2 linked regions of the Ovis aries genome follow. The protein of the gene in region 2 interacts with the protein of the main gene of each other region in a pairwise test. Links are inferred from orthologs where the notes say so. Each region holds a gene or a part of one and is shown on either strand. Other genes may lie near its edges.

Region 1 (11,120 bases), on a different chromosome or scaffold from region 2:
AGTGCATTGTGAACAATACACAGAGTGTAATGCAGGATATTCATAAATGCACTTGCACACATGGGAATCTGTCTCTAAACTTGGACTTGGGCTAATGTGCCTCGGGGCAAGTTCATAATTACAGCACTGTTCATCTTTCCTGCTGTCAGCTGTAATCATTGTTAAACTGGGAATCAAATGATTCCTTGTTAGAGTCTTGATTCAATCAGTGTTGGGTTTTTTTTGGCTGTACCATGCGGCTTGTGGGATCTTAGTTCCCTGACCCGGGATTGAACCTGGGCCCTCTACAGTGAGACTATGGAGTCCTAACCACTGGATTCCCAAGGAATTCCCTCAATCAGTGGCTTTTAAGGGTACAGAGAACGGCAGCAATATGACCTGAAATTTCCAAATACACTTCCCCTTCCAAGAATCACTTCACTATATGAAATTTCAGAAGATCAGTATGTTTGGTAGGATATACTTCTCACATTCTTTTGCCCTTTATCATTCTCACCTGCAGAAGGGGGTTCAGCATTAGAAAATATCAAGACATGGAAACAGTATTATCGGAAGAACATTTGTTTTTTTGTGCATATGCTCTAAAGGGCCTCAAACTTGAGGCAAACCAGGACTTGCTGACTGGTATTTAGGTAGAAATCTGCAATGGGGCTTATCTGTCATCAACTGGATGAAGCCTGCAAACAAAGGGGCAGAGAAAGAAGGGGATTAAAGTACAGGGATCCCCAGGCTCCCTGAAGGGTGAGCTGGGCTCTGACCAGGAAGTATCATACGAGAAAAGAGCAAGAAAATGGTTGCAAGGTCCTCTGGTCTCCAGATTCTTTTTGGTGAGCAAAAGTGAGACTTAGCCCTTCCCAATGCTGGACTGAGGGTGTCTGAGTTGGGGGGTGAAGTAGAGCATAAAAGCCAACTGCAGCTAGAGATTATCATATTAAGTAAGTCAGTAAGAGAAAGACAAATACCATATGATATCACTTATATGTGGAATCTAGAATATGATGCAAATGAACTTATCTGTGAAACAGAAACAGACTCACAGAGGACAGACGTGTGGCTGCCAAGGAGGGAGGCGGGGAGGGATGGATCGGGAGTGCGGGGTTAGCAGCTGTAAACCATTAGATGCAGAGTGAACAAGGTCCTACTGTGGAGCATAGGGAACTACATTCAACATCGTATGATAAATCACAATGGAAAAATAACATGGAAAAGACTATATGATTGTTACATATAACTGAGTCACTTTGTTGTACATCAGAAACAATATTGTAAATCAACAGTGTACTTCATAAAATAAATTACTAAGCCAGGTACCCTAAAACCTGAACTCAAAGGAGAATTTTCCACTTAGCTTCTAGTTTCCTGATTGCAATGCAATTAAGACTCACATTCATTTCAATTAAGACTTGTAACCCCAGTTTTTGGTGTGGCCTTCCTATGTTAGTCCCACTTAGAGGTGTGTAAGAACGCCTAGCGCTTCTTTGTGAAGTGTCATGGACATTGCTTATGTTGGGTTCAACAGGAACCAACTTGCTCAGAGCTCAACAGCTGCCTGTTCAAGCAGATGCCGTGGTGCAGGACACCGCAGCAAGACCACGTCCGAGCTCTCATTTGGCTGCAGCAAATTCCCTTCTATAGGCAGCCACAACTGTGACTCTGGCCTCTGGAGCCAAAATAGCCACTCGAGAGGGCACGAGTCTCGGTGTGTACACGGAGTCTGCATTCTCTCAAGACAGAGCGCAGAGACACAGATGTGTATAACGGACTTTTGGACTCAGAGGGAGAGGGAGAGGGTGGGATGATTTGGGAGAATGCCATTCTAACATGTATACTATCATGTGAATTGAATCGCCAGTCTATGTCTGACGCAGGATGCAGCATGCTTGGGGCTGGTGCATGGGGATGACCCAGAAAGATGTTATGGGGAGGGAGGTGGGAGGGGGGTTCATGTTTGGGAATGCATGTAAGAATTAAAGATTTTAAAATTTAAAATAAAAAAAATAAAAAAAAAAAAAAAAAAAAAAGACAGAGCGCAGACAGTGATTGCAGCCACAGGGTCAGACCTGTGACTCACTTTCCCAACATCAGGGTGTGTACCACCAAGGAAGAGCTGGCAGGAGCAACCAGGCTGGCGTCACTGAGCACCCACTCTCTCCCGCTCCATCCCTCCCACGTGCCCACTCTGAGTCACTCTCCAGGTCACATACCCTGTGTGAGGGTGTTCGCGCAGCTTCAAGTGTCATTTTTGGTGTGCTTGTTGATTTGTGGTGGGGCGAGAAGGCAACAGAGCACACGGGCCACAGACAAAGGCTTCGTCGGCGCTTCTTGATGACTTCCAGCAAACCAGGGTCCATTCAGCGTCATCCACAGAGACTCTAGCCCCCCTAACAGAATTACAGCGCTAAGGAGTCTGTGACAAAGCTATTTAATGTGAAGTTATAAGGAAAACACCACACAATTGTTTTTCCTTTATAAAAAATTTATCAAGGGAATAATTTGCATTTTCAGAGGCTTGGTTTAGCAAAGTAAAAGACTAAAACTCATCGAAACATTTAAAAATTCTTCTTTAACCTAGTAAGTGGGGTTTAAATTAAATAAATTCTCTATTACTTTAGGAGACTGCTTTCCTAAATCAGAAAAATTGATTTCCAAGTCACTCTCTTACCTGTCCTGCCCATAACCCTAAGGAGAACTAAACCTCACCAGGAATGGCTTCTCCGGAATTCAAGGCGGAAAGAACAGGTGATACCCCAACACAAACCATATGTAGACTCTGAGCAGAAAGCAGAGTCTGAGAGATGCATTGTGATTGTACAAGTTATCATCCAATAGGATACTTCTGAGAGTGAAAGAAGGTGCTGTTAATTGCTTGAAAGGAAAGGCATGATGGGACACATAGCCACCCTAGTGATAAGGCAGTTTGAGAAAAGACATTTCCCGGTTTGCTGTGCCCTTTGAAAGTCAAAAGACTTTCCCAGAAGCAAAGCACCTTGGGACACACGGTTAGCACCATTTAAGAGGTAAACGGCCTAAGGGTGGGTTCTGACATGGAGGCGTCCTCCTTCCAAGTAACAGTTAACAAGACACACAACACCTGAAGTGGACCTCAATGGATGTTAAGTCTGGGGTGTGGCCTCCCTTTCCCCAAACCCCCTAGCTGCCAAAGGCATGGAGCTGGTGGAGCGGTCCGTGGCAGACTGCCCCGTCCTGGGTGTGGTGCTGCTTCCGCCTGCCTACATCGCCGGTGTCCCCGCTGGCGCTAGTCTTTAGGGGGATTCTGGGCCAGGTGCTGCTCCCATTCAACTTCAACCAACTTGTACAGCTCCATGGTGGCCTGAGCATCTTCCACTGAGGAATGTCCACTTTTCCCAGCCTGAACAAGGGAGGAAGAAAAGAGCATGAGGCTACAAGAGACCGTTTCCTCCCTTCCCAACTGGTGCTCTCCAACCTCAATGATGCTGCTGCTTGTGCAGTTAGCGGGCTGCAAAGGCAGACCTCTGGTGGAGCCCCGCTCATCATCTGATTTCAGGGGTTCAACTCCTACACTATGGTCTGCCTCAGTCCTTTCTGTGGCAACAAGTACACACCATATTGTTCTACATTCTTCTGTAGAAGCAGAACAGACCAGATCACAGACAGACCTTCTGAGTCTTCCATCTTCCCTAGTTCTTTAACTAATGTATGACATGTGTCTATACCCTCATGACAGGCAGACCACCCCCTCTTCGACTGCCAAACATATGAAATACGTAAGAGGCCCCTGAAGCCACTTTATGGTCATTTAGGCCACCACAACTACCTGCTTCTCTCTTTTCTTACTTAGGGTTTTAGTCCCACTTTTAGGCTTTTTTCCTTTTCCAAGTACCCTGTGGAACACTCTGGGAGGTAGGAAACAAGAACTGTTATGCCTAAGTAGAGGGGGGCCTCTCTGCCCAAAGCTCTTCCCATCAGAGCACCTCCCCCTGGATCTCTCTGCAATCAGAGGAATCTGAGTGTCAGAGCCTGGAGAGAGGCAGCAGCCGGCCTTTCCCGTCCAAGCCAGAGGTCTGGCAGCTTTTGGGGAGACGCTACCTGGATGTCCCGGTTCAACAGCTTCTTGGTGAGACTCTTCAGAGACATGGTGGCATTCTCTGGGCAGTCAGCCTTACGGTTGAGGAGGGGGATATGAGAGGTGTCTCGGGTGAGGGACTTGGGATGAACGTACTGAAGGGCTTTGAAGTCATTGTGGATGGCATGCCCCACCACTATCTTCCCTGTGAGAATCTTCAAGATCTGAAACAGACACGGAAGAGGAGGTGGTGAGGAGCACGATCCACAGATGCAGCCTCTGCATTCTAAAAGCCCAACACGGCTCTAAGTCCTTCTAGGCTCTTTTCACCACTTGCTCACTTGCCTCATCCTTGAAATGCCTTCTCCCCCAAGTTTTCTTTCACCTGAAATCCATCTCCTCTCCCCGAGGTAAAAGTAGGCATTTTTCATGGTGTAACCGTTTGGACATACCTAGCCAGTGGTTCCTTATCGTCACATTAATTTCTACCTCAATGTGATGTTCATGTAATTACCTAGTTCAGTCCTGGCTTGATACTTGAAGTTCTTTAACCATAATTGTTACGTTGGCCTTAGATACAGGCTGGGACAAATACTGTAAAGATGGGCTCCAGGGAGGTAATGGAAGCCCCAAATTATATGCAAATTGATATGCATGTTTCTGTGTTTGTTTTCTGGGAGGGAATCTATGGCTTTCATCAGATTCTCAAAGGGCCTACAAGCTATAAAAAATTAAAAATTGGGAATTAAGAATTGGCAGTCCAGCGGTTAGGACTCAGCACTCTCACTGCCAGGGGGACCAGGTTTGATCCCCGGTTACAGAACAAAGATCTCACAAGCCTCGAGGTATGCCCCACCCCCTAAAAAAAGATAAAGACTCACTTCCAATGAGGACGATAAAGAATATGCCATGAACTCGGAGGGCCATTACCAAAATGGGGTTCCAAACAGACTGCGAAAGAGTTAACAGGCCTGAAATCAATGCCTGGCCTCCCAATGGGACCCTTTGGAAGGGTACAGACTCATCTGAATGTACCTTGGTCTCATACCCCAGCTTGGGCACTGATTCTTATGACGAAAACCAGATATAGTCTAATCAACTTGGTATTTAGTTGCCCCTACAGTTTGCTGACCACTAACACCTTTACTTTGCATTAATTTCAACACACAGCCTTCATTAAAGCTAAGTGGATGTGCTGTTTCAGAGCCACCTGATCTTCTGACTCTCCCGAGCCTTTGCTCAGCTATGCCCCTGAGGGTGCACAGGATGTTCTTCACTCTTCATTTTCTTTCTAAAATCTAGCTGTTCTACCTCTGATGAAATTCCTCCAAATGACTGCTCTGGCATATGAGAGATTACTGGAACAGTGTGTCTAGACAAGACAAAGAATGTAGAGCTGAAATGACAAAGTGGACCAAGGGTGCCCTCTGGAGGCCTTCCAAGACCAGCAGCTCCTTTCCCCTTCCCCTGTTCATTCAGCGTGCCTCCAGTTTCCAGCACAGAGCTTACAGTGGCTAGGACTGCTCAGTGAATGAGATGAGAACCCCAACATACCAGCCCTGTGTCTTTTACCCCCTTCATTGCAGGCTGCCTGTTCCAGTTATCCACCAACTTTCCACACTGCCACAGACCACTTCTTGCTTGGGAAGCGCCCTCCACCTCTCTGTTCTCAACCCTAGACCCACTTCTACAAGGTATTCTCAAGTTGAACCCTTTCCCCCTGGCATTCATGCCTGCTACTCTGTCCATCATGGGTTGCTGTTTTTCTAGCAGAGTCCCAACTATCCAGATGAGGATTCCACTTGGGATCTAAAACAGATCTAACACAGTTTATTACACCAGCTATTTTTAAGTTTCCAGGTTCTTACCACTCTTCATCCCCAAAGAAAAGCCTTCTTTATCTGCTACTCCATCCACTCCAACCCTCCCTCCACAATCCTTTGGTGCCTTCCCAGAGTGATATCCTTTGCTGAAAAATGATTTGGACTTCACCCTATCTGCTTCGCTGCTACCACCATCCCTCACGCCTCTTACCTGGTTCCGAGCAATCTTGAAGGGCGTAGCATTCACCATGTGCTGCTTCCGGATACCACTCCATCTGGTCCGGTAGTCCACAATGTGGCAAGGGGGCAGGATGTACTCATCATAAAGCACATCTCCGTCGTAGTTGACAATGCTACATCGAGCCAAGGAACTGACATGCCCCTTGGGTCCAGTACCCACCATCTCACAGTCAATTGCCACCATCTTCCCCGGTATCTTCTGGGATGCCCCAGAGTATTTATTCTCTGAATGTGTCTGGGTGGAGTTCTGTGGGCCATTCCTGGGTGGAGGATTCTTCTGGGAGCCCTTCTTCTGGGGGCGAGTTGGGTGGCTCTTAATCTTTGGTAGGGCGCTCTGGAATTCCCCCAGCAAATCCACTTTAGCCACAACAGAACCAACCTTCTGTGAAGGGGCAGGAGTCAGCCAAGGCACTGCAGCTTTCTTGTCCAGGGACTGCTCTGACCCACTGCTGGAGGCAGCTGTTGTCTTCTTTGGAAGGGGAGTGGCCTTCCAAGTGCCATCTACCCTGGGAGTTTCCCCTTTCTTTGAAGGTTCTGAGTGCAGCTTAGGCACCTTGCTAGGGGGCTGCTTCTTCTTATTGAGGAAGCCTTTCCGTTCCAAGAGTCGCCGCTTCTTGACAAATTTTCGGTGCTTGGCATTTCCCTCTAATGCCTTTTTGGGGGGAGGCTCGCCAAAATCCAGATTGAGGAGTAAGGTAGACATGATGACACTGGATGGTGAGAGAACAGTTGGGAAGAACAGCTTACAGATGAGAGGAAGATAGAAGACTCATCTGCTGAATCCCACAGACCAGCATTTGGAGGTTTGCAGCATACCCTAGGGAAGAAAACGATCCTGATAACGGAGCCCATAGCCTTGGGAATCAATAAGACCCATCTTTGCAGGACTTAAGAGAGGGGAAAGACATCAGAGTAACCTCTCAAATAATGTGATATGACGGAAGAAGAACTTCATTCTGAACCAGGAAGCCTGGATTCTAGAAAGCTCCACAATTCACCAGCTGGGTGAATTGGTGAATAGGAAGGCCAGGTCTCCTCTCTAGATCTCAGTCACATTTGTAAACTTATGGGGGTCGCAGGGCCAACTAGCTGAAACAGCGATCTACAACGCCAGAATAGGTGAACTCTATCATCTACCCATGGAGGGAACGTCTAGGTATGCTCAAAGGCAGTGACAGGTTTGGCAAAGCTGATCTCTGGATTACCCTAGCATCCTCACGCGGGTCTCACGAGTGGAGATACAAATTCAGGCACTCATCTCCCTCGTTTCCAGGTGGGGGAAATCTCCACATGCATCTCACTCAAGTCTTTGTGCCACGAAAGGACCTTTGACAACACACATTGGTAGGGGAAGGAACTGAGTCTAAGGAATAGGTGCCATGCACGCGGCGGAGCCAACCTCGCACGCTCTCTCACCTACCTCCTAGATGGGTCCGCTAAGACCGGAAGCGCCAAGAGCCGGATGCGGAAGTTGGCGCGCGTCGGCGATGCCCAGGCCGGCAGGCCCGCGGGTTGGAACGCGCTGGAGGCCGGCGCCCGCGTACCCGCACGGCCCCTGCCTCCGGGAGCGAGGCCAGGGATTCGGAGTGTGTGGGCAGCGGCAGCGGAGGCGGCGGCGGGGGCGGCGTGGGTGGGGGCGGGGGCGGGAGGCGCTCCCCGGCCCCTCTAGCCCCGTGGAGGTACAACTCGAAGGTGTGAGGAAGCCGCGACAAACGGGAACTGAAACGCGCGGGACAACCCGCGGCCTCACTTCCGGAGAGGAGAGAAGTGTACGGGAAGGGGCGGGATCTGGAGGCGGGACCTCGGACTTGGCCCGCCCCTATTGGTGAGCAGCGCACTGCGCGACGCCTCTGTGGCGTCACTGCGCTGGCACTCCCGCCCCGCTAGTCTCAGACGTAGACACCTTGGCGCTGTGGGGCGTCGCGACCTGTGACGTCAGGGGTGCGCCTGAAGTCTTCGTCCCGAGCCTGGAATCCCGGAAAGGCAGCATCCGGCACCAAATTCCGAACACTTTTTCTTCTGAGACCACCTGAAGTGCTGAGCCCAGCCCGGGTCCCACACCCGCGTGGTTCTCACCCTGGTCCTCTCCTCATTGCTTTCTCGCTTCCCGCGCCACCGTCTTGGCCCCGGAATGCCCGGGGTCTCCGCCCGGCGCCTCTCTCACGAAGAGAGGAGACAGCTAGCGGTGAACCTCACCCGGGTCGTGACGCTCTACCGTTCCATCCTGGACGCCTACATCATCGTGAGGCCACAGGGATGTGGGTGGGGTGCTCCTGCTTGTGTGATTGGCTACCTAGCCACGACTAGGGGAGAATCTGGAGAGTTAGCGTCTGATCTTTTTTTCTAATAGGTTTTTTTCAGTTTTTTGTCTGTACAAGAAAGGGTTAAAGCTGGGGCAAAAACCCCGATTCTTTTTTTTTTTTTCTGATGACCTAAATATTAATATTTCTAGCATCTAGGTTGTTTTTCTAATTCTCGAGTCCAGTAATGAAGCGCATGGACATTTGAGCCATGCTGCTGCGGCAATGTTGAACTTTCCTAGGAACATGTGAGGTGTTTTCAAGAACACACATGATCGTTCATTCAGGTTTTGAATAAATTCCTGGTTTTGCTGTGTAATGGACAATTCCAACTTTGAAGTCGACTGAGTCGGACTAGAGTCCCGCCTTCCCTATCGTGTTAACATTAGGCATAAAAATTCCTCCTAGCCCCAGATCCTCAGCTGTAAAATAGATCCCATTTTGAAGGATCATTGTGAAAAATAAATGAGATGATGTATAAATGCCACCAGCATCCACTGAATTATTCAATTCCCAAACCCAGAAGCCATCCTTGATTCAACCTCCAGAATAGATACCAAATTCACCCATGTGTCTCCATTGACACTGCTACCACCCTAGGCCAAGCCAACATCATCTCTCTTCTGGACTGCTTCCTAACTGATTTCTGTATTTGCTTCCTCCCTTCCATTCCCATTTCTTCACAAAACAGGCAGACTGTTCTTCTAAAAATGTAAATCTGATCGTGACATTTCTTGCTTCCTAGGTACTCTGGATTTCCCAGGTGGCGCTAGTAGTAAAGAATTCGTCTGCCAAAGCAGGAGACCCAAGAGTTGTGGGTTCAATTCCTAGGTTGACAAGATCCCCTGGAGTAGGAAATGGCAACCCACTCCAGTATTCTTGCCTGGATCCTAATTATAGGTAATGGTAGTCACCATTACCTATAAAACCCTACAAGCTCCCTTTAAAACCTGATCACATTTCATTCTCTCCCACATTCACTATACTACATCTACACTGGCTTGATCAGGGCCTTTGCACTTACTGATCTTCCTGGAATGTTTTTTTTCTCAACAGAAAGGCAATTGAGTAGGGTGGTTAACAGCAAAACTCTAGGGTTGAATTGGTTTCAGATTCCAGCTGTACTACTAACTAGCTTCTTGACCTGGACAGATTAATGAAATGCATTAACATATATAAAATGTTTCAGATAGTATCTGGCGTGTTAAAGTATTCTGTGGTTACTGCTACCTGAATTTTTAAAAGGGGAGATAGAACTGACATGTAACATTTTAGTTTCAGGTGTGTAACGTAATGATTCCTATTTGTAGATATTATGAAATAACTGTTGTTCAGTGGCGAGTTGTGTCTGACTCTGTGTGACCCCATGGACTGCAGCACATCAGGCTTCCTTGTCCACCACTATCTCCCAGAGTTTGTTCAAATTCATGTCCACTGAATCAGTGAGCTATCTAACCATCTCTTGCATCAGTTAATATCCCATTGCTGTAGTAATTTTTTTCTTATGATGAGAACTTTTAAGATCTACTCTCAGCAACTTTTAGACATACAATATAGTAGTATTTACAACAGTCACCATACTATACATCTCCATGACATTTACATTGTAACTGGAGGTTTGTACTTTTTGACCCTCCTCACCTATTTTATTTACCCCCACCCCTGCCTCTGGGCAACCAAAGCATGCAGTGTTTCACATGTGCTGTATTACTCTAAGAGTACACTCAAACTCTCCATTATGTTACTGTCTCATTAGTGTTTTGTCTATGTGGCACTTGATGTTACTTGAAATAATTTCTTTAAGTGTAAACTCTGCAAGAGCAGGGATCTTGTCTGTCTGTTTTGTTGCTTGTATCCCCTGAGCTTAGGATAGAACCTGATGCCTAAACAAAGCTCCAGAATTTGTGTTGAACAAATAAATGAATAAAAATACATTCTGGCGGGGAATCCCTGGTGGTCCAGTGGTTAGGACTTGGCGGTTTCACTGCAGAGAGCCCAGGTTCAGCCCCTGGTCAGGGAACTAGGATCCCACATGTCACATGTGATGACCAAAAATAAAAACCAACATTTTGGCATATATAATGTCTGGCATCTGTGGTGTCTGGCACATGTAACAGTAGGTTACTAGATGGTAACATACTGATAGTGTGTGTTAGTCACTGCTGTGTTAAGGAGGCAGGTGCAAAGCAACCACACACACCCTTCAGTTCAGTTGAGTGGCAGACACACATATAAATAAGGGGGACACTGCTAAAAGGAGAAATGTGTCCAGATTGCAATTTGGGCTCAGGAAGGAGGGGAAGGCTAGAGCAGACTTCAGAGAAGTAACTCCGATGAGGAGAGGTTCCTGCTAGTTGCAGCTGGTGGCCGTGTGTTGTGTGGGTAGGGAAGAATGGGAGGGGGAGTAGCCTGTTGATTGCTTCTCCCTTTCCCCTCCAGGAATTTTTCACAGACAACCTGTGGGGCACACTCCCTTGCTCATGGCAGGAAGCCCTGGATGGACTGAACCCGCCACAGCTGGCCACGCTGCTGCTGGGGATGCCCAGGGAAGGGGAAGTGGCCAGGTATGGGCAAGAGGGACCCTGTGCCGGGGGACTCGGAGCTGAGCCCTGCAGGGAGCCATCGCTCAGTCTCACGAGGGCTTCCTGGGTTGTAGGCTGGCACACTCAGGATGCAATGGGACTATTCACTGGGGGCCTGGGCGGGCTATCT
Region 2 (11,120 bases):
AAGTGGAGTGGCAACAGTATAAAGGTCAGACTGGAAGGGGAGAAAGATGGGAAAAGAGAAAACAGAGAAGCGCCAAGTTCAAATGTGCACCTGTGTTAAGTCCCAGCCTTCAGAAGCCCCTCTCTGGGAGGCTTAAGAGGGAGGGGATGTATAAAGTTACGACTGATTTGCATTGCTGTATGGGAGAAGCCAACACAACTGTCAAGCAACTTTCCTCCAACTAAAAAATAAATTCAAAAAAGCCTCAACACCTGCCTTTGGGATGCATAGGGTCCGCCCATACTGGGTTGGGGTAGGGGCTTCATGTCACTCTTCTGCCACCTCTGCCCTCTATATTTGGCCTCTATTTCTTTTCTCTGTCCAAGTTCTGAAACGTGCATCTATAAGCATTCTCTTGTTCTTTTTTTGAGCGGTCCATCCTAAAGGAGGTCAGTCCTGGGTGTTCATTGGAAGGACTGATGCTGAAGCTGAAGCTCCAGTACTTTGGCCACCTCATGCGAAGAGTTGACTCATTGGAAAAGACCCTGATGCTGGGAGGGATTGGGGGCAGGAGGAGAACGGGATGACCCAGGATGAGATGGCTGGATGGCATCACTGACTCAATGGACGTGAGTCTGAGTGAACTCCGGGAGTTGGTGATGGACAGGGAGGCCTGGCGTGCTGCAATTCATGGGGTCGCAAAGAGTCGGACATGACTGAGCAACTGAACTGAACTGAACAATTTACACTGATCAAAAGAATTTACATATTTTGCATCGTCTGAAGTGGAAAATTAAAGGCAACATTGATCATTTTTTCTCTCTCTTGAAATTTTAGCCCTTTTTTTTTTTGACTGTACTGTGTACCTTGCAGGATCTTGGTTCCCAGCCAGGAATCAAACCCATGCCCCCTGCAGTGGATACGTGGAGTCTCAGCCACTGAGCCACCAGGGAAGTCTCTATGTGCTCTCCTTGTGATGTCTAGCAGCTTGGCTCTGGTCCCCACTGCTTCACCAAGGTGCTCCAAGTCACCCGGGGGCCCTCTACCACCAGATCGAAGCCCTTTGCCCAGGCTCATCCCCCTTGACTTGTCCCGCAGAGAACCTCGGGAAAGGCCCACCTCTGTGCACCTTTCTGTGCTCTTTGCTTAATGAGACAGCCCACTAGGCTGATGTCCGGCCTCTCAGCTCCTTCGGAATTTCCTTCTCTCCTCCCTTTCCAAGGCTCTGTCCAGCTCCCTTCCCACCCTCCATCCTCTCCTTTAGAGTGTTCCTGCTACAGCTTCTTTGCAGACAATTCCCACCTCTCATTCTTTCCCTGTCCAGCTGGTCTGCATCCCCAGTTGCTACAGGGCATTTCTAGTGGGAGGTCTGCTGTCTTCTGGTGCTTGGCCTTCCTGCCTCTCCAGCGGTATCGTCCTAGAGCAGGTTCCCTCCGGCCCATCTCTCAGCTTCTTTCTTCCCTCTCACTGTCTGGGCTCTGAGTGCTCCTTTCCAGAGAGCTGCAGACACCCTGGGGTGCTCTAGCTCCAGGCCCTGGCCCCTGTGGTCTGATTCACACTCAGTTCAGTTCAATCGCTCAGTTGTGTCCGACTCTTTGCGACCCCACGGACTGCAGCGGGCCAGGCTTCCCTGTCCATCACCAACTCCTGGAGTTTGCTCACACTCATGTCCATCGAGTCAGTGATGCCATCCAGCCATCTCATCCTCTGTCGTCCCCTTCTCTTCCTGCCCCCAATCCCTCCCAGCATCAGGGTCTTTTCCAATGAGTCAGCTCTTCACATCAGGTGGCCAAAGTATTGGAGTTGCAGCTTCAGCATCAGGCTCATCTCCAACACTGCTGGTGTCAGCCACCTGCTGGCATGCAAGCCTCCTGCCTCCCTCTGTCTCCTGCCGGGTCTGGCTCAGGCTGCCCTGCTGGCTCTCTCTTAGCTCAGGCCACTCTCATTTCCCCACTGTCTGAATACAGACTGTCCGCTCACAGCAGGTCAGCCCAAGGGCCTGTCAGCAGCCCCTGCTGCTTGCTTCCTCCACAGTCATTAACCCTGTCCTTCCAACCCCAGGTCACAGTTAAACCCACAGCACCTGTGGCCCTTGACGGTCAGGCCACCACCCCACCCCATTCCACACCCATCCCAGTGTACTTTTCCTCTTAGCAATCCGTGCGGTCTTCTGTTCTTGGTCTTCTTGACCAGGACGGGGCTTCAACCTTTCCCGTCTATCCACAGCATCTAATGCCAGTCCTGCTAACCCATGTGCCAGGCACAGAGCTGCAGGGTCCCATCCGTGACCCTGCCCTCTGCTTTTGCAAAGAGAGGTCCCCATCCACCTCTGAACCCCAGCAAGGCCCCCCAGGTTTTCCTAATAGTAACTTTCTACTCAGTTCTCATTTCACCTACTTGTGTTCAACCCTGAGCTTCCCTGGAGTCTCAGAGAGTAAAGAATCCGCCTGCAATGCGCAAGAGCTGGGTTCGATCCCTGGGTTGGGAAGATTCCCCTGGAGGAGGGCATGACAGCCCACTCCAGTATTCTTGCCTGGAGAAGCCCATGGACAGAAGAGCCTGGCGGCCTACAGTCCTGGGGTCGCAAAGACTCGGACACGATTGAGCGACCAAGCACAGCACAGAGCACAGGAGCTAATGCCTACAACTGGAAACCAGTCAGAATTGAACATGTAAGTGAATTGTAACTACTGTGTAACCAGGAGCAAAAATGTTACACCGTCTATTCTGGAAAAAGCCAGTTCAGTTCAATCCAGTTCAGTCGCTCAGTCGAGTCCGACTCTCTGCGACCCCATGAATGGCAGCGCACCAGGCCTCCCGGACTAAGGCCAACTCCTGGACTAAGTCAGAGGATCGTCAAACTCGCACTCTCTCTCACTTGTCACGTGCGAGCATCTTCACTTCAGTCCAGGTCAGTGCCTGGCACTATGCTCAGGGTTAGGGTTAGGGTTATCCACATGACAACCCCGTGGATTTGCGCGCTTCCTTCTTTCTGTGGTACTTTGTCCCGCCTCCCTGTCTCTCTGAGATAGAGTACGTAGAGATTTCCGTGGGTCCTGTAGCAAGTTAACAAGTGTCTTATGTGACAAATCTCCCCGCCACCCCAGGGGCTGATCAGGGGTGGGAGGGACCCCGGCAGATGTTTTAGCTCCCCTTAAAGACCCCGGCCTTTCCAGCCTGACATCTGGAGGGCCCCTTCTGGACGTGGGAAGCCGCATCGGTTCGAGCCGAGTCACCAGCCCGGCGCCGATTCTCACTCGAGGCAGGGCCTGGCCGCGGCGGAAGAACGCGCGGAGAGAGGGGCGCGCCTGGCAGGACGTGGCCAGAAGTGGAGCTGCTCCGACGTGGACACCCGGCCGAGATGGGCCCGCGAGTTGTCCATGTTTGGTCCTGGAGCCGCCCGCGGGGCGCGCAGGGACAACGCCCCCGGGGGAGCGCGGGCGCCGGCGGCCGCGGGAGGGGCTGCCCCGGCCGGGGCCGGGGGTGGGGTGCGGGTGCGACTCCCCCGCTCCCCGCGCGGCCCCTCCCGCGCCGCCGCCGCCGCTTCGCCTTTGTCCCAGCGCGTCCCCCCGCAACCCCGGAGCCGGCGGCCGCGCGGGGAGGCGGGGCCCGGCCGCGGCACCCCCCCGCCCCGGCCGCGCGCCGCCCTCGGCTCCCCGGCGCCCCAGCCCCGCCCCGGCCCCGCCCGGCCACGTCCCCCCGCCGAGGCCGCCCCCTGGCGGGCGGAGCGGGCGCCCGGCTCGCGCGGCCGCGGCGGCGGGCCCGGGGTTGCCATGGTAACCGGCGGCGGCCGCCGCCACGGCAGGGCCGGCCCCAGCGCCAGCGCCGGCCGCGGCTCGGCGCGGCTCAGTGTGGGGGTGAGCGGGCGGCGGCGCGGCCGGGCCGGGGGAGCGGGCACTGCCCGGCGGCCTCAGCATGGAGGACGGCTTCTCGAGCTACAGCAGCCTGTACGACACGTCCTCGCTGCTCCAGTTCTGCAACGGTGAGGAGGGGCGGCGGCCGGGGCGGGCCGGGGGGCCGCGGCGCGGAGCGGGCCGAGGGGCGAGGCCGGGGCGGCCGGGGAGGCCGCGCAAAGTTGCTGCGGAGGGGCGCGCGGTTCCCGCCGCCGCGGGCGCATTGTGCTGGGCTGCCGAGCCCCCGGGCCGCCCGCGCCTCGCCGCGCCCCCGCCCCCGCCCCCGCCCCCGCCCCGGCGCGGCTCGCGGCTCCCGGCTCCCGGCTCCCGCTCCGGGCTCCGGCCAGTGCGCGCGGGGAGCGGCCGGTCCCGGGGAGATCCGCGCGGGCGCACCGGCCGGGCAGCGCGTGAGGAGGCCCGGGCGCCCCGGGGCTCCGCGGGGACGTGTTGCTTTCTGCTTCCAAACTCACATCTGTTTGGAAATGTCTGGATGAAGAACTCGGAAAACACATCGCTTAATAACAAAACGCTCCTTCGAGGATGTGCGCAGTGTTTGCTGCGCATGGACTCAGATCCATTCCGTTCTACTTTGATGAAACCATCAACACTTTCATGCAATCTAGAGCTGTTTAAATGGACAGGCAGAGGGAACCGGGCTTCAAAGTGTTTCGACTGTTTACGGGGTGATACTTTTGGGTTTTGTTTGTTTGTTTGGTTACAGGGAGGAAATATTAATAGCTATCAATATGGCATCTTTAAAAATTATATAAAATCTTACGTTTCAAAGATGTTAGTTTCACTAGTAGGGTTGAAGATTGTCACAGCAGACTGCATGGTTTATCAGAACATTCACGCACAAAAGTTACCCATGCAATTTTTTATATGTTGGATTTATTGCTTTTTTAGAGGGTCCCAGAAACTTGTTAAAGAAAAAAAATCGTGTATTTTCTAGAATGTGCCTCTAGTACAGGTGGAATCATTTGGAATTCTAGACGCTTTGACGACTTGAGCAATTTCTTTTGCAGTTGTATTTGTGATTTAGGCGAATATCTCTAGTTATTCGACACCTGTTTGCAAATAGCAGGTATTAGCCTTGGCAGTTAAGATCACCGGGTTGATCTATAATGATATTTTAACCTCTGGCGAAATTTATCATCTTTTTCATGGGAGAGTATATAGTCTTATAGTTTTGGCAGCTTGTAACTTTTATGTTAATCACATGTGAGCCTTCATTACCTTGTAATGGCCTCTGCAGCAGAAAGGATGAAAGTTGTTGCTCTCCAACTTTACCAAGAGTTTCAGAGCTGAAGGAGGATAGAATGTATTTGGTGCCCTTCTGGCCACTGGAATTTCTTATATGTAGTTGAGAGTCATGGAAACGGTTTTATCCTCCACAACATTAAGTAGATATTTGAGCAGTTGTTTAGGGGCTGGTCATATTGCTTCTAAATAGCAGTTCAGTCATAAAGTTGTGTATCTATTCATGAACATTCTGGATTTCTGCCTTTTCTTTTAAATGTGTGTTAGAGATATTGGTAAGGAATTTTACTGGTAAGTGTCTAGAAGAAAGTAAAAACCAGGTTTTATATTGTATGGCTAACAGTTTAAAGAAAAATGACTTTATTATTTAAGCATAGTTGATTTACAATGTGTTAAATTCTGCTGTACAGCAAAATGGCCCAGTTATACATGTATATCTATTCTTTTTTTATATTCTCTTCCTTTATGGTTTTTCTGAAGTGCACCTGAGCTACACAGTAGAACTTTTGTTGCTTATCCACCCTATATATAATAGGTTACATCTGCTAATCCCAAACTTGCAATCCATCCATTCCCTACCCATGTCCCCGTAGGAAAAAAATGACTTTAAAATAGCTTAGAAACAAGCAATAAGATCAATTCAAAGTACAACTGAATCGTAACAGTTGAATTACTTTTCTTTACAAAGCTCTTAGCTCTGTGCTTTTTTTTTTTTTTTTTTTGGTTAGCTTATGAATAAAGTTTAAAGTGAGAATGGTCTCTGAGGTAGAAGTGAGTGTCACCCTGGTGATGTTTTAGGCAGCAGATGTTTGGATGAGAAATTGCTCATTTTAAGAGGCCTTTGCTAAGTGAAAATATAAATGAGTACAACCCAATTAATGACTATGATGATTCAATGAAAGCAGTGGATCACAGGAACACCATTTCACCAAGCATTACATTAAACATTTGGGTATTTTATTGGCAACAGTGACAAAAAATTCTTTTTGAATTAGAGATTTCCATGACAATGGCAGGACTACGCCACTCAGTAGATGAACCCATCCACGTTCATACGTTGAGCACACTCCATGCTTTCGATGGTGACAGGAACCAAAAAGTCATAGTTGTTTATTAGCTTCAGAAAATGCATCCCATACTTGTTATTTGGATGACTGCCGCAGTTAACGTCTTCCTAGTGTGATCAAGATAGAAGTTAGTCGTAAATGTGAACAGGAAGGAAGAGAAAACGTTGTCCTAATGAGTGAAATCTCTAGTTTCCACTGTATTTTTCCCCTTACTGTCTCTCGTACTTAATTTGTAGTGGATATTAAATGTCAGCATAGGCAGTATCTAGCCTCATGAAAAGACTATCCATGCTCCTTTTAGATACTGGCTGTCTTATTTCACTAGGAAATGTGTGCAGTGTTTTTTTCTCCAAACTGTTTAGGACTCTGTAAAGTGAGCTAGAAATCACAAACTTCTGTCCGCCTAAGAAAAAACTACAACAGTTGCAAAGTAGACTAAAGCTGTCATTTATAAGCCAATTTCCTGTTTGGGAAATACTTGCCATCTTTCACTCCATTTCTTTCTTCAAACCCTTCCTTTTGCGTAGGAGGAAACTGAGTCTCAAAGAGATTTTTCTAACTTTATAAGGCCACACAACTAGTAAGGCTTGGATACCAGTATGAATTTTTTTGGTTTGTTTTAATAACAGCTATTGAGAGAGATAATTCACTTTCTATAAAAATTCTCCCTTTTTAAAGTATACAGTTAAGTGGCTGTTAGTATATTCACAGAACTGTGCATGTGTCAACAGTATCTAATTTTAGAACATTTTCATCACCACCCAAGAAACCCCAGCACCCACTAGGTTGTATTCCCCATTGCCCTGGCCCTTTGGCCATACCAACCTGTCTCTCTGTCACTATGGATTCTGAGTATTCAGTATAAGTGGCATCGTGCGTGTGGCCTTTCATCTGGCTGTTTTCACTTAGCGTAATGATTGAAGGTCATCCACGCTGTCGCATGTGCCAGAACGCCATTCCTTTTATGGCCAAATAATATTCTGTTACACGGGTAGACCCTGCTTTATTTCTCTGTTCACCAGTAGACAGGCATTTGGGTTGTTTCCGCTTTTTGACTGCCATAAATAATCCTGTCAGGAACATTCATATCCAGGTTTCGTGTAAACTTATGTTTTCATTTCTGTTTGGTTGGTACCTAAAAGTAGGGCTTCCCTGTTGGCTCAGATGGTGAAGAATCTGCCTTCAGTGCGTGAGACCCAGGTTCAGTCCCTGGGTCGGGAAGATTCCCTGGAAAAGGGAATGACAACCAATTCGAGTCTTCTTCCCTGGAGAATTCCACCAACAGAGGAGCCTGGCAGGCTCCAGTCCATGGGGTCGAAAAGAGTTGCACGTGACTGAGTGACTGATGCACTTTCACACTTACCTAGGAATAGAATTGCTGAGGCATATGGTAGCTGTGGGTTTAACATTTTTGAGGAACTAGTCTGAATTTTTTGAAGTCTAAACATCAAGCAGTCCATCCTAAAGGAAATCAGTCCTGGATATTCATTGGAAGGACTGATGTTGAAGCTGAAACTCCAATACTTTGGCCACCTGATGCGAAGAACTGACTCCTTGGAAAAGACTCTGATGCTGGGAAAGATTGAAGGTGGGAGGAGAAGGGGACAACAGAGGATGAGATGGTTGGATGGCATCACCGACTCAATGGACATGAGTTTGAGCAAGCTCCAGGAGTTGGTGATGGACAGGGAGGCCTGTGCAGTCCTTGGGGTCGCAAAGAGTTGGACAAGGATTGAGCGACTGAACTGAACTGAAACATTAAGCTCTTTTTATTATGCCTTGTTGGTATGAGACTGGGGAGTCAAGAAACTGGATGAAAGATGGAAAGAAGTAGGTAGGAAGAACGTAACTGTTGCTATTTCATTTCTGTGAGTCACTTTGGATTCTTCCATCAATCACAGTTCTTCAAAACAAGTCAACGCACACGTTGGCTTAGTTGCCGTAGGTTACAAGAATTTCAGAGTTTGAGGGGACCTGAATTTGAGGGGGTGATCTCATCTCATAATTTTCTTTCTTAAGCCTCTGAATGTTTCGTCAAAGTACAGCTCACCCAGGAATGCAAATGTCAGGCAGATAAATCCCAGGGAGCATCCCCCGCTGAACTCAGAGAGAGGGCAGTGTCTCTGATCCTCCTTGCCTGTCCTGTCATCCCCTGATTCCATCCACCCAGCCCTCCAGGGCTTGAGATCTCTGTTCCAGAGGTTATTCAACCCATGTTAGAGCAGTTCCAAAGAACTGAAAACTCACTATCTCTGCATGCAGTCCATTCCCTCTTTGTGTGATTCAGACCGTCAGTTGCTAAATGCAGTCAAAATTTGGCCCAAGTTCTGCCCCTTGGGTCCATAGGAAGTAGGTTTAATCTCTTCTCCATGTACAGGTCATCCCATGTTTGAAGACAGTCCTTCTCAGGTCTGATTCCAGCTAAACATTACCTTTAAAAACAGAAATCCTCACAAGACAGTTTTAGGCCCTTCATCATCCTGGTTTGCCCAGTCTGTACTTCTTTTCTTTTGTCTGTATGCCTCTTTGGGCTTCCCTTGTGGCTCAGCTGGTAAAGAATCCGCCTGCAGTGCTGGAGACCTGGGATCGATCCCTGGGTTGGGAAGATCCCCTGGAGAAGGGAAAGGCTCCACCCACTCCAGTATTCTGGCTCGGAGAATTCCATGGACTGTATAGTCCAGGGGTTGCAAAGAGTCAGACACAACTGAGCAACTTTCACTCACTCACTTATATGCCTCTTTAAATTTAACACAGCTGAACGTCTGCATATTCCAAGCGTGGTTTTTAAATAGAGCTGAGTAGAGCTGGATGCTTCACCTCCCTTGTTCTAAAGTCTATACTTCTAGTAATGTAGCCCAAGACCATATGAGTTCTTTTGCTTGCCACTTCACATTGTGACCTTTTATCGGTTTTCACCTAAAATTCTTGTCTGTTTTACATGTATTGTGGCTAACCCACTTTTTTCCCATACTTTTCCCTTTTCTTTTTAAGGAGGAATTTCCTTTTTTATTTTAGGGGTAATTTCCTGTAATACAGCATAATTGTAATCTGTACCATAATGCTGTAAATACTCCCAACACATATAAAATATTTCAGTGTTGTAATAACATGGAAGTTGGTCATTGCCTTAAAGGTTATGATCCTGGCTGATAGCTTTTTTTTCTGTCTTGCCTGGAAAGGTGCTGTGAGAGATCTTCCCATGTTCCTTTCTACAGCCTATACATGGCTCAGCTACCACTTCTGATGAAACTGGACTTGCCCTGCAGGTGCTACTTGTTAATAACCATAGCCTGTCAAGTCCCTGCTACCTCCTGCTCCCAATGACATTCTGAAGCCACTACAGCAATCTTTTGAACTGTGTTGTCGTTGTTCACTTGCTAAGTTGAGTCCGACTCTTTGTGACCCCAGGGACTGCAGCACACCAGGTTTCCCTGTCCTTCACAATCTCCCAGAGTTTGCTCAGGTTCACGTCCATTGAGTCAGTGATGCCATCCAACCATCTCATCTTCTGTCATCCCTTTCTTCTGCTCTCAGTCTTTCTTAGCATCAGAGTTTTTTTTCCAGTGAGTCAGCTCTTTGCAACATGTGGCCAAAGTGTTGGAGCTTCAGCTTCAGCATCAGTCCTTCCAATGAATATTCAGGACTGATTTCCCTTAGGATTAACTGGTTTGATCTCCTTGTAGTCCAGGGCACTCTCAACAGTCTTCTCCAACACCACAATTCAAAAGCATCAATTCTTCAGTGCTCAGCATTCTTTATGGTCCAGCACTCACATCCATACATGACTGCTGGAAAAGCCATAGCTTTGGCTCTGCGGACCTTTGTTGGCAAAGTGATATCTCTGCATTTTAATATGCTGTCTAGGTTGATCATAGCTTTTCTTCCAAGGAGAAAGCGTTTTTTAATTTCACGGCCGCAGCTACTGCCATTTATTTTTTCTAAATAAATGGAAACTTGTTTTTATTTCTAAGCTTTTATATTGAGGGATATAAGAATGCTTTATTTAAAATCTTAGACATATTTTGGCATCTGTGATTCTGTTAACTCTGATTCTGTTAGAATTTTCATGTTGGCAAATTTTCATGTTGGGTTTGAAACAAGGTCAAGGAACTCGTGTGAAGAAATCACTCTGAACTCAGCAATATGAAGTCTTTTCAAACCTCATGTATTCTTCTGTGGTGGCTGAGGACTGAGTTAGATTTTCTCTGTTAGCAAAATCCAAAGAAAATAGTTTTTACAAGAAAATGCCAAGTGAGCACCCATACTAAGTGAGAATTTTTAATTGGTATACTTGATATTCTGGTAGGGAATATATTTTATAGCCAAACCACAAGCATTTATGACATTATAAACAAACCCAAGCATTCTGATGGAAAGTTCCCCAAACCAGGCTTAAAAGTAACTATTAGTCTGTTCTTGTTAATTTCTGAGATAATATAAGCTTTTTCATATAGTCTCTTAAAAAATAAACATTTTAGTTGAGTGGAGAGTAGATAAAAAAGAAATAACATCTTTGTTTCTACTGTCAAAGTCTGTTCAAGCTATAAAACTAGAAGCGTGAAAAACTTAATTATGATAGCATTGAAAATTGAACATTAAAGCTTTGCTTTTAGTGGCAAAAACAGCTTCTCTAAGGACTTAAAACCAATGGTATTTTGTGCCACTTACAAAAGTCTCTTTCAGGAAAACTATAATTATTCATCTTTAAAATCCTAGCTTATTAATTGAGGATTTCTAGGATTAGCAAAACGTTTTAAATGCCACCAGACACATGGAAAACTTTTTTAAAAGTTTGCTGCAAATTGTAAATGGCATGTAAGTATTATCAACATGCCCTCCCCACCAAAGCGTCATGTTTTTCTCACTAGATGTTCGACACGTAAGTTTAATATTCTGCTGAAAGCAGCATGTTTGTTTCAAT

The links.
Region 1: the proteins of EML1 (region 2) and ISG20L2 interact in binary tests that used the Homo sapiens proteins (3 or more experiments, as listed by UniProt). The two-hybrid records come from large-scale screens. The link is inferred for Ovis aries from reciprocal best matches to the Homo sapiens genes EML1 and ISG20L2.

The regions. Positions count from the first base shown.
Region 1 is NC_056054.1:106,682,062-106,693,181, forward strand, and holds ISG20L2 (interferon-stimulated 20 kDa exonuclease-like 2), read right to left. Parts: upstream 7,547-11,120; 5' UTR 7,322-7,546; coding exon 7,314-7,321; intron 6,926-7,313; exon of another isoform or gene 6,819-6,925; coding exon 6,080-6,818; intron 4,270-6,079; coding exon 4,069-4,269; intron 3,371-4,068; coding exon 3,257-3,370; 3' UTR 2,407-3,256; downstream 1-2,406. Other genes in the region: METTL25B (methyltransferase-like protein 25B), read left to right, coding at 8,240-8,350, 10,848-10,972. UniProt on the Homo sapiens protein: 3'-> 5'-exoribonuclease involved in ribosome biogenesis in the processing of the 12S pre-rRNA. Displays a strong specificity for a 3'-end containing a free hydroxyl group.
Region 2 is NC_056071.1:62,420,059-62,431,178, forward strand, and holds the start of EML1 (echinoderm microtubule-associated protein-like 1), read left to right. Parts: upstream 1-3,827; 5' UTR 3,828-3,894; coding exon 3,895-3,961; intron 3,962-11,120. UniProt on the Homo sapiens protein: Modulates the assembly and organization of the microtubule cytoskeleton, and probably plays a role in regulating the orientation of the mitotic spindle and the orientation of the plane of cell division.